Struthio camelus: one gene and its partner. The protein of the gene in region 1 binds, or shares a complex with, the protein of each later gene. Links are inferred from orthologs where the notes say so. Each region holds a gene or a part of one and is shown in the gene's direction. Other genes may lie near its edges.

Region 1 (7,245 bases):
GGATCGTTGTTGCCTAAATTTTCAATTGTCTTTTTTTGCTCACTGACTTTTTTTTTTTCCTTCTATTTTAAACTGAGAGTTGCTTGTGTTTTCCAGCTGAAAATGTGAATTATTGATGTACAAGGCGTTTTTCACATCAAAAGTTTCTTCTCCTGATTTTCAGGTGACAACATCAGAGAGTTCTTGCTGAGTCTCAGATATTTTCGAATCTTCATTGCCTTGTGGAACGTCTTCATGATGTTCTGCATGATTGTGTAAGTAGAGCTGTGCAGCATCTTGTCATTTGTTTATCCAAAGTTATATACTTGGGGGGGGGGGAGTTACTGCAACTACCTTTTTTTCTTATCCCTCTCTCTGTCTCTCTGTCTCTCTCTCTCTCCCTCTCTCCACTTGTTCCTTAGCTACTTTTCATTTTACTTATGTCTACTTTGATCTTCAAAGACTTGACTGACTCCACAATTTTTTTGCTAATGCGTTCAACCTGTAGTACACAAAAATCTCTCTGCTGGTTTGTAAGTCATTTAGTCTTAGTTATAGGGTTTCTCGCTGTGTGTTGCTTAGATGCATCATCATTTGGTTCAGCATTTCAGTGTAACTTTTCCCTCCCTAAAATTAAGAAAACGGTAAAAGTCCTCCCAAGTAGCAGAATGGAATCAGCTTTGCAAATAGTCTCTGGAAACCACAGATGTAAGTCCTGATAGGCAGGCTAGCAAATATCTCCTCTTTTGCACTTATGTAGCTGTATGTTCTGATGTATGGGAGGGCAGAACTGATGCCCAGATGTATGCTAGTGTTTCACCCAGCTGGAATGGCGTTGCTATGACTATTAATGGTTGTACCCAATTCTCATCTACTTTTTTCTGTTGCGTCCACTAGGTTATTTGGATCTTGAAAGTCATCCACAAACATGTCTGTTAACTTGGAAGAGACTTTTGGCTGGAAACATAACTTTTCTGTAAAGTAAAAGACCATAATGCTTTCAAAATACTGCCCTGGGATTGTGGCTTGTTCTTCAGTACAAGCTCTAAAATATTAAAGGGACAGGACACGTTCATCCTCTTCAGTCAGTCGTATAATTACATGGCTTATGCTGGTTTGCTTGCTGCTTGGGGAAGTAAGCCTTTAGGCTCCTGAGCCAAAATGTTCAAAGTAAAATCATTTCAACGTTACTCAAATAGAGAACTTTAAATTGTTTTGGTTGGCTTAGAGTATGGTGCTTAGTATTCAGTGTAGAATTGCAGCATAATGGAAGACCACAGACTTAAAACTGTGCAGTTTTAGTCATTCCCAGCTCTTGACGTGTCTGCCAATGTCATGATTGTCTAGGTTACTTGAAATCTCACTTCTTTATTCTCATTTTTATAAAGTTGAGCAAAGTATTATACTGTTTTAAGTTTGAAAACAGCGTCCATTTTTTCCTCACTGTTACATTTAGTTTGTTTGAGAAATACACAAAGATGATGAAAAACATGTGATTCTCTTTATTTTTTCCAACAAAATGCTTTTTAAATTAAAATTTCAAAGATGGTGTTTTTTTCCTAAACAAAACGTAGGAGGAGTTGAATAGAAAAATTGCAGAAATTGTTCTATATGCCAACCCTAAGGAACAGTTTTGGAATCATTTTGGATTTGGTTGAATATAGAGGTTCTATTCATGGGTAAAAATGTGTTTGATGTCCGTGTTCATTCTACTGCATGAGAAATCAATTCAGTATCAATGTTTCTGAGAAATTTTAACTAGTCTGTGTTGCAACTGTGACTGGCTTTTGATGGTATTTATTTATGTTGTTAGCCTCTTTGACTCATAACTTTCCCCCAGCATCACCAAAATAACTTGACAGAGTGCAGTGCTGGTTATCTTTTAAAACAAAGTGAAAACTATTAGTGGAACTTTCTCAGCCTCAATTTCTTCAGCTATGTAACTGTTGAGAAGAAAGAGAGGCCTCAAGATTTTAAACCGAGGCTTGGTTTTAACCAATACCTTGAATTTTATCTGGATGCAGCCAAGTAGTCAGCACACAGGTGTCATCTGCTCGCAGCAGTTCACTCCAGTGATGCATTTTTGTATTACCTGAAGTGTTCAAAGTGTTCATCCGCTCTTTTGGGGATGCCTCGCAGTCATGAACATAGACGAATATATGGAGAAAAGGATCCTTCAAGAGAGGTTTGTATTGCACAGAAGCATTTACAATCTTCGGCTAAATTATAGGAGATGTCTTGTGTGTAATTTTTGTATTTTATACCTTAACTCTTTTCTAATGTATTTTTAATGAGTAAAAGAGAGTAATGTGCTGTTCTTGTCATGGTATCTGTGAGATGGCATCCAGACAAGTCCACTGCTTTATATAATCCTTGGAAAGCATTTTCTCCCTAACGTTCATTCAGCTGAGTCTTCCTCAGTGAAATGTACATGGCAGAGATTGTAAGAAGTTTTTATCAGTTTTATGCCTAAGCCACTAGAGGGCCCTTATAGTCAGCAGAGAAGCACTCGGGTCTCATTTTCAGACTCTGGGTTTTAATTCTCACTCAGAAAAATGGTTGTTCCTGTGCAGAACTCATATTCCGCTTTCTGAGTGACCCTTTGAATATGGCGAACACAGGGAATGGAGGATGATCAAACTCTACTGGTAAAGGAAAATACACAATTTTAAAGCTCCAAATAGATAATGCAGATTAATACTGAGTGCTGTCACCCCAAAATTTCAGTTCTTCAGAAGAACAGAAGTTCAAAGGTAGTCGTTCTGCTCCCATCCAACTGCTTTAGAAATGACGAGAGTAGTTAATTTGGAACTGCTCTTAAATGCTGTGGAAGGGCTGACTGCTTACCAATTGTCACGTCCGATGTCCATCAGTACAAAATCTTGTACATTTGCTTTTGTACTCAGTCCAATTACGTATGATAAGCTTCTAAAAACCTAACTTGTGCTTTCTTCAGAATCAAGGAGAGGCAGTAGAAGAGACAAGTTAAATATGTCTTTGAACAGAACGGTATTTGTTAAGATTTTGTAGGCTTAGCTCTTTCCACATAGCAATTGTAAGTTTATCTATGTATAGTTTGTATGTAATGTCAGAGTTACCTCACCCGTTGTTTTGAAAATAATGAAAATCTGAAGTTCCTCTACTAGGCAAAAACTTCTCTTAGTCTTTTGTGAGTTTGGAATTGGAAATCATTTCTTTCAGAACACATTTGACTTTTCACAAGCAAGTAGGAGTGTGTATCACCTTCCTGCAAGCATAAACTAAGGCCTCAAAATGTGTGCGTTTGCCTTGTGTCTTTAATAGCTGAGTAATGGCCCTAGGAAGAGATGCTAAGAGACAGCATGGGTGAGGAAAGCAGTAAAAGCATTTTTTTTTAAACGGTACACTGCAGAAGAGGAAGTATTTTTTTGTTTATTTCCATCTTTCAGTTGGACCTAAGCTGTGTACAGATTTACACGGTACTGAACAGTAGCTGCTGAGAGTGGGTTTTCTCTGATACCCAACACTGACTCTTGGGCTACATCTCTTAAGGTTAATTCTTCAAGTACATAGATGCAGGAGAAATGAATATATATCTAAAACGTGTCTTCACATCGGACATCTAGGAACTGCCTCTTGTAGACGATGACTCCCAGAAGTGCTGACAGAGCAGGGACTATTCAAACCTTTGCAAATAAACGCCTTGGCGTCCCGAGGGTGTCCTGTGCTTCGTTCCCCTGCGCTGCGGGGGCGCCGGTTGCCGGGGGGGGGGGGAGCGGGGGCTGCCCCCAACCGCCGCACCGGTTCGAGACGGCGGCCAGACCAGGCCCCGCCACGCGCTTCTTCCCCCCCCCGCCCCGGACGGCTCCCGTCGCCGGGCCGGCCCCCCCCTTCCCCCCGACAGGCACCTCGCGGCCGACTGCGCATGCGCTGCACCGCCACCCCCGCCGCCGCGGCGCATGCGTGCCCGCCGCTGCGTGCGCCGTACGGCGGCAGACGTCAGAGGCGCGCCGTGCGTAACGGCGTCGGGCGTGTCCCATGGTGCCCTGCGCGGGGCTGGCTCCTGCCCACAGTTGAGTTCGGCCCCGAGCGGAACAGTCGGGCCCGGCCCGGTCGCGCCGCCGCGGCCCCCCCGCGCCCCGCCCCGCCCCGCGCGCCGCTCCCCCCCCCTCCCCCGCCTGGCGGGGAGCGATCATGCCACTCCGGCTCCCCGAGGAGGCCGCCGCCGCCGCCGCCGGCGAGTGAGGAGCCGCCGCCCCGGCCCGGCCCGGCCCCGCCGCCCGCCCGCCCCGGCCGCAGCCGCCCCGCTTCGCCCAGGCAATGACAGCGGCTCCGGCGCCCTCCCCGCAGCAGATCAGGGACCGGCTGCTGCAGGCCATCGACCCGCAGAGCAACGTGAGTACGGCCCGCCGCGCCCGCCGCTCGGGTGCCGGCAGCGCGGGGGACGCCGGCCGCGGGCAGCCCCCCTCCCGCCCGGGGGGTCCCGCCGCGGCTCGTGGGCCGCGCGGCCGCCGCCTCCGCCCGCCCGCCGGGACCCCGGCTGCGGCGCGGCTCCTCCCCGGGCACCGGAAGCCTCCGCTGCGGGCGGCAGCGGGGAGCTCCGCCGGCGCCGTGCCCGCCGGGGGTCCCGCGGCGCCTCGCTGCTCCGCGCGGCGGGGCCGGTACCGGAACCGGCGGTCTCTCCGCTGCCGGGGGGCCGCGTCCTTCCGCCGCTCCCCCCCGCCCCGGGCCGGCTGCCGCTGCCCGGCCATGCGGCGTGCGGCCCGGCGGCCTCCCGACGCCAGGCCGCGGCTCGGGCGCGGCCTGCAGGGGGCTCTGGGCCGGCTCCCGCCGCCGCTCGCCGGGACCCTCCGCGGCGCCCACCTGTTCCTCGGGCCCGGGGCCCCCCCCGGCCGGCCGTACCGGGGCGCCTGGAGGCGCCGGACGGTGGTTTGGCGGCTCTGGCGCAGGGCAGGCTCGCTCCTCGCCTTTATCCCTCTCCGCACGGCGCTAATGAGCTTATCCGCTGGCTCTGGGATGTAGCGTGAGCGCAGAAGTCGGCGTTTGCTTCACCTGTAAGTGGGTTTCACCTGTAAGTTGCGGTTATCTGAAGTGTTATTTAATCCATTTAAGGTTTTTGGCATGTTAAAGCAGTTTTCCGCTTAGGCGTTTGTTTCTGGGAGAGGACTGCGGAGTCTGCAATCTGTCAGATTGCTAAATCTTAGCTCAAAAGTCACTACAGCAGGATGCAAAGGTGGGTTTGGCTTGACCATCTGTGGCTTTTTGGGGGGGGGGGGCGGGCACAGCTAAGGGTGCGTCGCACTGAATGGCAGTTCCAGGAGGCTGGGTATATAAAACAAGGTTTTGACTCTATTAAAGTCATACTTCTTTCCTCTTAATAACTATATTCGGTATTAGATGTGTATTGCAATCTTGAAGTAGCTAATAAAGTTCTTGCAGTTTGGAAACGTTCTAGAGCAGCCTGTGTGTGGCATGAAAACTGAAGAAAAATCACCCTGACCTTGTAATTTCTTGAGTAATCTACTATGATGTACATCTGTCGTGAGCAGGAGCATTACATGTTCTAGTAACAGTAACGAATTGTAATGGCAATTGTGGGCTTTTAAATGTCAAAGTTATTCAAGTTTGCAGTACTTTAACTCGGTTCTTAGTGAGATGTCTGTATACTTCATGAATTCTGTTTGCTCTGGGTTCTCTTGGTGGCTGCAGTCTTTTCACTTGACATTAGACTGAGCACCTACCTAGTTTAATAAAACTCTTAAGAGATCTGTGGCTTCTTTTAACTTTAAAGCTGTTGGCAGCCCTGGTTCTCCTACCTCTGGTGTTACTTTCTAAAACACTGTGGCTGTAAGTAACCAGGAGATATATTTTATGATGGATACTTCTCCCTTTCCCCATCCATTAATGCTAAATAATGCTGTATTTTCTGATGCCTCTAAGAGTGCTTCCAGCTTGGTTGTGACGAGGGGGTTCAGAAATAACTAGACAATTCTCTGCAAAGGGAAGTAGAGCATCAGCCAGCAGCTCTGCTGAGCTTCTGACAGGTCAGTAGCCGCATATGCTTGAAGAGTAGTGTATATTAAGTTATAATTCTACATACTTGATACTTATCCAGGGCAATAATTAGTGGTGGAAAAATCGCCCCATTGTTTAGAAATGCCTGTAGGCAGGGGGCTGTCTTCCATTTTAACCTCTTCCTCAAATGAGACTGGCGTAGCTGAGGTTAGTTGGTGCAGACTTAGATGTCAGAGGTTTTTTTTTTCTCTGAAGCCTGTAGAATAGATGGTAAACAATAGATAAAACTACCTGTCTTGCTGTTTTCATGAAGGGAACAAAAAACTTAAATCTTGAACACTTTTAAAAGTAAATTCTGAATTGAATCTGACTCGAGTCCCAATGTGAAAGTATAAGAAACTGCTCTGATAATCTTTTCCTGCAGTAAGAAGTTAATGCAGCTTTGAGCCGCAGTGCTGTTAGCACTGGCAGAAAATTGTAGCTCCTTTCTTCTGGCCTTTTAGACTCTTGTGTTAAAAGAAGTGCTTGCATTCAAACTTAAAAGTATTCATTATTGTGATTGACTTCCTTGTTTACCAAGAAAGACAAGCTGTGAGGCCTGGATTTCATTCAGACTTTTCCAATATAATTGTTGCTGTGTATATGTGCATGTTTCTGGAGGGGAGTAAGGGTGAAAACTGCCCTGATACCCTCACGTGTGCAGAAGGCCAATCCAGTTTTGTGAGGGTGAGGAGAGGGAAGACTATTCTCTGTAGTGCTTTAATTTGGGATGATTTGAATTTAAGCTTCACTGATATGTTCTCTAATACAAGCTGTTTCTCTTCTGTGGATATCCCAATGTAACTGTAAAGGTCTTTGAAGTGCATACAGAGCTGGAGTAACTCTGATGTCCTGCTTTAACAAAATAAAAAATAAATTGCCCTATCTGTGTTGAGTTTAGTTGTTCAGAGTAATCTTTTCCCCAGGTTCTTGGTACCTGCTTGCTATCAGAAGTCATCTTCTGCACCAATTGTTCATCTTTGTTTTAACCACTGCGTTAAGCCCTGTTTTAATTGTACAGATGCATTTAGCGCTTGAGATCTCTTCTAGTAATTGATGCAGAACATACTTATAACTTAGTTTCACACACTTAGTTTAGAGTTTACATGTATGACCTTTATTTCAAAGGACACCTATAAGAAATAAACTGCTTAAATACTGTCTCGTTTGGGAAGCCACTCAAGGTATCTGGTATTATATATTCCCTTATTCAGCCTTTTCCCTTTGGGGGGA
Region 2 (7,739 bases), on another chromosome or scaffold:
CAACTTCAAAAGTAAAAAAAGTTTCAGTCTCTGCCCTTCCCGTAGGGCCTCCCACCTCCACCCTATCCTATGGCAGGATTTGCCAGTCCCTCTGGCCTGGTAGTGCGTCCCTTTCCTCCATTTGCATAGAAGAAGTTGCAGGGTAGCTGAATATGAGAGAACTAACTGCAGCAAGCAGGAATGCATACAAAGCACTGCAAAAACACCAGCTGGGCACACTGGAAAAGATATTTCCTTCCTGCAAGTCGCTTGCTCTTCCGGGACTGATGGATAGACTTAATATTCAGAGGTATAAATATTTTTCAGCTAGAAGATGAGATTTACACCACTCTGGATATGCAAGTGCCAGAGGTCATCGCTAGTCTCTTGTCCACGTGATTTTGAGACTTTTTTTTTTCCTGCCTTGAGCCCAAATTCTACAAGCTAATACTAAAGGACTAAATAACCTCAACCAGGCCAGCAATGTCTTGACTACAAGAAGAGTGGCCATAGATATTGTTCATTTACGTGAGCAGTGCAGTATCACAATCCAATTTTTTCATTCCTTGTTTCCAAGATCGGGGGATGATCTTGATGAGACATCTACAGACAGCCTGAATCCCTATGAAGTCTTGCTTTACTTTTCACCTCAAGCTGTATTTTATACTGCTATTAATAACTTACTGATACCTATATCCTTGACTAATAAAAACATCTACCACAGATTTTAAGGAGTATTTGAAACTCTACAGGCTGTTTATTCAGCTTCATGGTCAGTTTTTATGGTAACAAGGAAGTATTTTCATTCAAGATTGTAACAAGGGCCAACAGAATATTCACAGCTATTTATAGATTAATGATACAATTCTAATCACCTTTCCCACCATCTTCTTCAGATAGAAAGCAGTCCTAGAAAGAAATCATAGAGTCTGTCCCATGACATCAAAGGAGTCAGGTTGCTTTACTATATAATAATCTCGGACAAGGGAAATGTTCATGTCAGTCCTTCTCCTAAACGCTTACTGCTTCTGCTTTCCTCAGAGTTCATTTTTCATGACTAGATCCCACAAAGTTCTCTTACAAACTCCTTAGTCGTTCCTTCTCCAGACCTGCACTACTGTTCCTCTCGTTGTCAGCCCACCACAGAGGGGCCTCAGAGCGCAGATCTCCAGTGAGCCAAAAAATCCCCAATGACCTCTGCCCTCCTCACCTGTGGTTTAGGTTCATACTGCTGCTGGAGCATCTTGGCCACTTTGTTCTCAAAAGCGCATAGCTGCGCGTACACTTGGTGCAGAAAGGCCTCTTGCTTCGTCTCATCCAGCTGACAGCCCTGGAATAGTACCTGGCCCAGGGATACACAAGGCAACCATTAAGTTAGGGGGTCAGAGTACCGGCCCCCTTAACAGCACACGGGAACGCAGTTCTCACCGGGGCTGTCGGGCATCTCCCTGACAAAGTACAGGTAACGCACAGGCCTCTTCCTGCGTGAGGCCAAATGCATGCATGCAGGGACGTTTCGTGGCATCTGCAGCACACTCTGCAGCAGATGCCTACAGCATTCTCTTGGAATCTCGTTCATAAGCAAGAGCTTTCTACTTCTTTTGCCTTCTTCTTGCAGTGGTCAGGAGAAAGCAGTGTGGAATCCTTGTTAAAAGCCTTTAACTCTGATGTGACATTTCCAAAGAAGGCCTGTTTTTTTTTAATCTAACTCACCTATAGACTGATCCAATTATCTTCCAGTAAGTGGATGGAAAAAGGAACAGTTCGTTGAAATAAAGACAATAAAAAATTTAATCGGATGTTACAGAAGAGGCTAAGTGATGTGACAGAGGGACACTGTCAACACAGAAACTCCCCAAGCTGATAGGCAGGACGCTCGGGCATCGTGCAGACTATCTCTGCCCAGACCCAGGTATCACAGAACACGGAGGCAAACGGGATGCAATGTGCAGACAAAGCGTTCAACAGAAGGCAAGGACGCTCCTTGTTATCATGCCATCCCCTCACCCTAAGGTGAGCACATAGTGACATGGGAAAAATAAACAATTACAACAGATATAGGCTTTCTTGGATGAGTTACACACATATGTGCCTTTTCCTCCACAAAAGGAACACACAGCTTTTTCAGTTATGTCCAGAGATGACAGTTACTGGCCTCACACAAGAAATAAGATTTTAGAACAGATCCAAAGAATAAGAAATTACCAACTTTGCAGTACTCAATTCAGTGTAAGTAGGGGAAATACTGAGGCAAAGCATGGTGATGTCTGAAGGACACCTGGACAAGATTACACACAAAATATCATGGCAAATAGGGAAATTCCTGCTAAGCATACTTTCATAGCACCTAAAAACTGACCAAGGTGAGGGCCACGCTCTTCAAGCACTGTACAGACCATTAAAGCTTGCAGCCTGCACAGAAGGCTTGGGAAGAGGTGGACCAAGGAAGGGAGAGGGAGGGAACAGGTCTATGTTGAACAGCATCATCTGGTTACCACACAATTTCTGTGGTATGACCAATGGCATGAAACACACCATCAGAAACGGGAAAATGATGTGAAACTACTGCGAGGTTGAGGGGACCGATACAAGAAGAATAAACTTCAAAAACCCCTACTGGCACTATAAACCAGAACCTGCTCTGTCTCAAGTAACTGTGAGGTTACTGGGGCTAGGCTGCTCTCTCCAGCAAGGAGAAACATACTCACACTGGTACAAAAAGAGAGCAAGGTTTGTAGGAAGAGGTAATCATCTTTGAATAAATCACTGCTACACAGTTGGAGCAGGCAGACAAGCTTTTGGGCATACCACCTCCTCTTGCATGTTTCAAGTTAATTACAACAGGCCAAAGAAATTAGTCAGCAAAACAATTTAAACAGGGGAAAAAAAAGCATTAGACATAACATGAGGGAAATATTAATTACAATCTATCTCTGAGAACATGCCTACAGGCAGCGTTCTCTGCTAGGCCCTGCTCCCCCATGAGAAACCTCTGCTTCCAGCCCAGAAAAGCTGCTCATGTGCATTCCCCCCATTGCACCAGGCTGCACGTTTGAATGAAACAAGTCTACAACAATATCTTTAACAAAGCCCAGCTAACACATGTCCCACTTCCCTTTGTGTTCACGGGCAACCAATAAAGCAAGCTGCTCACGTGCTGAGATGCGCCAAGGGAGAGACTGAATTTTACCTGATGGGACTGCAGGCCAATGATGGAGGAATATGCCTGGATGGTCACAAAGATCTCTGGCTGGTAAATAATGTCCGAACCAGGGATACGAAAGGGTCTTAACAACCCCACTAAGCATCGGGAAAGAGCGTGAAACACTTCGTCAAAAATTATCTCCCCTGTTGAGTCATCCTACAGAAACAGAGAAAAGAAACTTAGCTTCTTCATCTGCCAGGACTTTCAATCTCATTGACAGCCGCCGCACCACACAAAGCTAACAAAAAACATCCTTCTGTAACAGCAGCTGGTAAGCAAAGGCCACACATGGAGCATCCAGCAGAGACACAGGATCTGCCAGTAAGCTGACCAGCTAGGAGCATTTCATGCCTCACTCCTGGGAAAACAAGTGCTCTGCAAAAGCTAAGACTGACATAGAAAGGAACGAGCCTTCTCAGCAGAGAGAAACGAGTCCAACCTTTCAACAAAGGGCACCCCAAGAAGATAGTTTCTGCACTTACCACAATCCCCGTGGAAGGGCTCAGGTCAAGTTCAATCACAAAGCGGTACTGGCGGGCCAGGAAGGTGACCCGTGTTGAGGGCACTAGGAGATAGGGCCTAGGCTGGACAGGCTCGTCTGGCTGCCATCCATTAGGCAAGATGCTGAGAACATCCAGTTCGTTTTCCGACTTCACCTACATGAAAAGGTGAATGGTAAGTGAGAGAACATTAAGACAAGCCACATGTATCAAAGCAAGAATCAGAATAAAGAATAGGGTTAAAACCTTCTGCAGGGCCTGGCTGCTCATGAGTAGCGCAGAGCCCAGAGCCAGCTGGCCACGTCAGGATGTGGCAAGACCAACCAGCCCAGGGCACCAACTCACCAGCTCCGGCTCAGGCACAGCCCAGATGACCTGATGGAGTCGGCTGAGGACCCAAGCAAGGCGCACGTTGCGGGAGATGCGATAGTCTTTCTTCATCAGGAGGAAGACATGCCCTGCTTCCTCCACCTGCAGCGTGTGGGAGCATGGCAAGCCCCCTGGTCACCCCAGGAGTCAGCCAGCCCCCCAGAAGAGGGAAGAGGCTGGCACTGGCTGGGGCTGGCCACCACAGACCTCACCAGCACCTCCTTAGTTGGCCTTTGCCAGCATCGCTCATCTGCCCCCACATCCACCCCAAGACGTGCCTCAGCCCCTCGCCTTTCCCCCACCTGCACCAGCCCCCACGTTCCCTCACAGACCCAGCCAGCCCCATCGCTCCTAACCACGGCCCTGCCCCCCCCATATCCCCTGTTACCCCCCACCTCAGCCCTGCCCCCCAAAACCCGTTACCCCCCACCTCGGCTCTTCCCCCCCATATCCCAGTTACCCTCCCACCTTGGCCCTGCCCCCCCCAACACCCCTGTTACCCCCCACCTCGGCCCTGCCCCCCCAACACCCCTGTTGCCCCCCCACCTCGGCGATACCCCCCACACCCCAATTACCCCCCCCTTCAGGCCTGACCCCCCTCCGTCCCGGCCCGCCCCCACCTCCGCGTCGGCCCGCTCGGAGGCCGCCATGTCCGGCCGCAGGCCCCGCCCCGCCCCGCGCCCTCTGACCCCGCCCTCCGCCCGCCCCGCCCTTCCCGCGCTGCGCGCCCTGACCCGGAAGCGAAGCTCTCCCGTGGCAACGGCCGCGGTGCCGCCATGCAGGTGAGGGGCGTCGGGCTCGGCCCGGCTGCCGCCGCCGGCAGCGGGGGGGCTCTGAGGGCGCCGCAGGCCCGAGGCGAGGGCGAAGGCGAAGGGGCGCGGGGCTGCGGCTGCTCGGGCCCGGCCGGCCGGCGGCCGCCCGCGGCTCCCGGGCCTCGGCTCTGCGCAGGCCCGAGCGCAGCGTGTGTAGGCCGCGCTGGGCCTCGGCTCCCCTGCGCCCCGGAGAGGTGCAAGCAGCCAGGCAGAGTCGGCAACGCTGGCCCCGACCTCTGTCAAAGGCGCCTGCCCGGCGGCACCTGCCGGGCCGCGTCGCTGCTCGGCTGCTTGCAGGGATGGGGTCGCGCCGAGCGGCCCGGCGGGCGGGCAGCAGCTCTTCGCCGCAGGCCAGCCGTGATGCGCCTCTTTGGGAGCTTGGCCTTGCCCTCGAGCTGTTGTCCAGTGCTTTCCTGTGCAGCAACCTCCTTTTGCTGCACACGCGTAGACTGAGTATGTGTATAGATAACTGAGTCTCTTGTTCCCTCTCAGCAGCCGGTGCAGCCTTTGGTGAGAGTGGCTGCACCGGATCAGGCCAAAGGTCTGTGTCCCCCCCCCCCCCCCATCGTGTTTTTGACACTAGCCAAGAAGTAGGTGCCCGGGAAAAATGGTGAGAGCAGAGTATGCTTGAGGGCTGTTCTGTGCAGACTATTGCTAAAGGGTCCCATGTATTTAATAGCTTTTGATAAACTTTCGTCCATGGAAGAAGGATCCAGTTACTTACTGAACCTTGGGGAATTGTTAGCGTCCATAATGTCCGATGGAAAGGAGTTGCACAGGTTAATGGCAGGTTAACAGGCTGTGAAGAATTGCCTCCTTTGGTTTGTTTGAGCCTGCTACCTCCTGCTTTAATTCAAGTTTCCTAATTGTCATGCCAGAAAAGAAGGTGAAAATGGATTGTCATGCAATTCCTCGTGTACTGATGTTTGTTATATTGTCTCTCCTTCTCTTTTCTGCCGCTCACACAAACTGGTCTCTTTTCTATGTTCGACTGCTATGCCTGTAGAAGCTGACGTATGTCTTCGATCATCCTTGTTGCCTTTCTTTGTACGTACTCCTACTATATCCTTTCTGAGATAGAGGGACAACAGTTACAAACAACAGTCACGATGAAAACGAGGCATATGTTTATACAGTGATATAATGATGCTTAGTTTTATGTTCCTTTTCTAATAAATCCTATTATTGTTTTTGTTTCCTTGACTGATTCTTGAGCCTTGGGCTGATTGTTTTTGGAGGATACTCCAAAGATCTTGGTTTTTGAGTGACAATGTTATCAGTTCAGAGAATGTCATTGTTTATGAGGAGCTAGATTCCTTTTTTGTTTGTTCTGCCACGTGCATTGCTTTATGTTTACCTACACTGAATTTAACCTTTACCTCCCAGTCACTCAGTATCAGGAGGTCCTTCAGCAATCTCTCCTATAAGCCCTCTCTTTGCTACCTTGGGATAATCTAGTATTGTATAACAAACTCCTTAAAGCACTGCTTGAATATATTGTGTGCCTGCAATAGGTACAGAACTTCTTGGAAGTACTGATCTTAAGCACTGGTGAAGCCTGTACACATTACATCTGCTTCCTGCTCTTAACGGCTTTGGAGGAGGCGCTGCTGTGAGAACAATGTGTGGGCAATATGGTTGCATTCGTCTTCTTGAGGGCCTCTTGGATAAGCACAGGCCATAGGCTGCATGAATTGCCTTAGATGCATATGCCTGGCACCTCTGCAATAAACACTGGCTACCTGCCCAACTTGTAATACAGTCATTGATTAATTCTCTTGCACAAGCATAGTGCACACAACGAGTTGTAGACTCATTTCTTAATTGCACAGAAACTGCCCATCTCCATCACAAGATGGAGGAGAGCTATAGTGCTTTAATCTTCAGATGCAACACCCAGCAATCTGCTTCGAGGACTAGGGATCAGATTCTACCAAAGTTGACTCAGCCTTTTTTTTGAAGGTGGTTAAGTGAAGTGAAGTCTGGTCAGTGTTTTCTAAAGATACCTTTTATTTTCTTACCAGTTTATAAATTAAATAGAAAAATCTCATGTTCTCATGGATATAGAAGATACCTGATAATCTCTTCAATGAAGCTCATGCTAGTCCAGTTCATTTAAACAGAACAACATAAACAAACAAACCCCATAGCAAGCATGCAAACAGAATGATTCACCCTCTGTGCTTTCCCAATTGGCATTCCCTTTCTATTATTTGATTGTAATGTCCCACCCTCCAGGTGGATTATTACTGTACAGCGCTTGACTTATATTAGCAGTTTATTAGGGCTGGAACTTCAATTGTATTTTGTGCAACTCTTCTGTTGTATGAATATATAAGAACAGAAAAGATTCTAGAGAGTTTTTGCAAGAGGGTTTTTGTCTCGGTATCTTTGGCAACAGATTCCTTATCCTCTGATTTTTTGCTTGTGGCCATCCTACTTCACCCAGGGATGTTGGTGGAAAAGGAATTTAATCAGTGCAGTTCAGGCAAAAGGCAGGAGGTGACCTGCATGTGTGTCCAGGTTCTGTATGATCCCTATTACAGCAGTGCCTCCCACAACTGGTAAGGCACAAGTAAAATGGGAACTCCTAATTTCTCTAGCAGCTAGAAATGGCACTTGGGCAGGAAGAAGGTAAAGAATGAGATGAAGGGTAGAAACTGGAGTCTTTAGGCCACGGACCCGATGCTTATTTTGCACACGGCTGCTTTGGATGAAGACATTACTGTATCCACATTTGCTAGCAGAAGGAGTTGAGTGAATGCTAATTACCTTGAGCTGGGCTAGCTTAAACAGCTCACAGAAGTGGCATGAGCTAACTCTGATGACACTGTCTGAGGTGGTAAAAAGAAAATGCAAGTGATAATGTCTTCA

What was found. Proteins that work in one complex are often made in the same cells at the same time.
Region 2: MED26 (region 1) and MED8 share a complex: the UniProt entries of both Homo sapiens proteins name them as parts of the mediator complex. The link is inferred for Struthio camelus from reciprocal best matches to the Homo sapiens genes MED26 and MED8.

The regions. Positions count from the first base shown.
Region 1 is NC_090967.1:5,333,581-5,340,825, reverse strand, and holds the start of MED26 (mediator of RNA polymerase II transcription subunit 26), read left to right. Parts: upstream 1-4,233; 5' UTR 4,234-4,278; coding exon 4,279-4,353; intron 4,354-4,882; exon of another isoform or gene 4,883-5,029; intron 5,030-7,245. Other genes in the region: SMIM7 (small integral membrane protein 7), read left to right, coding at 164-254, 877-892. UniProt on the Homo sapiens protein: Component of the Mediator complex, a coactivator involved in the regulated transcription of nearly all RNA polymerase II-dependent genes.
Region 2 is NC_090949.1:25,439,524-25,447,262, reverse strand, and holds the start of MED8 (mediator of RNA polymerase II transcription subunit 8), read left to right. Parts: upstream 1-4,736; 5' UTR 4,737-4,829; coding exon 4,830-4,835; intron 4,836-7,739. Other genes in the region: KICSTOR complex protein SZT2, read right to left, coding at 1,190-1,321, 3,170-3,340, 3,667-3,840, 4,030-4,155, 4,674-4,703. UniProt on the Homo sapiens protein: Component of the Mediator complex, a coactivator involved in the regulated transcription of nearly all RNA polymerase II-dependent genes.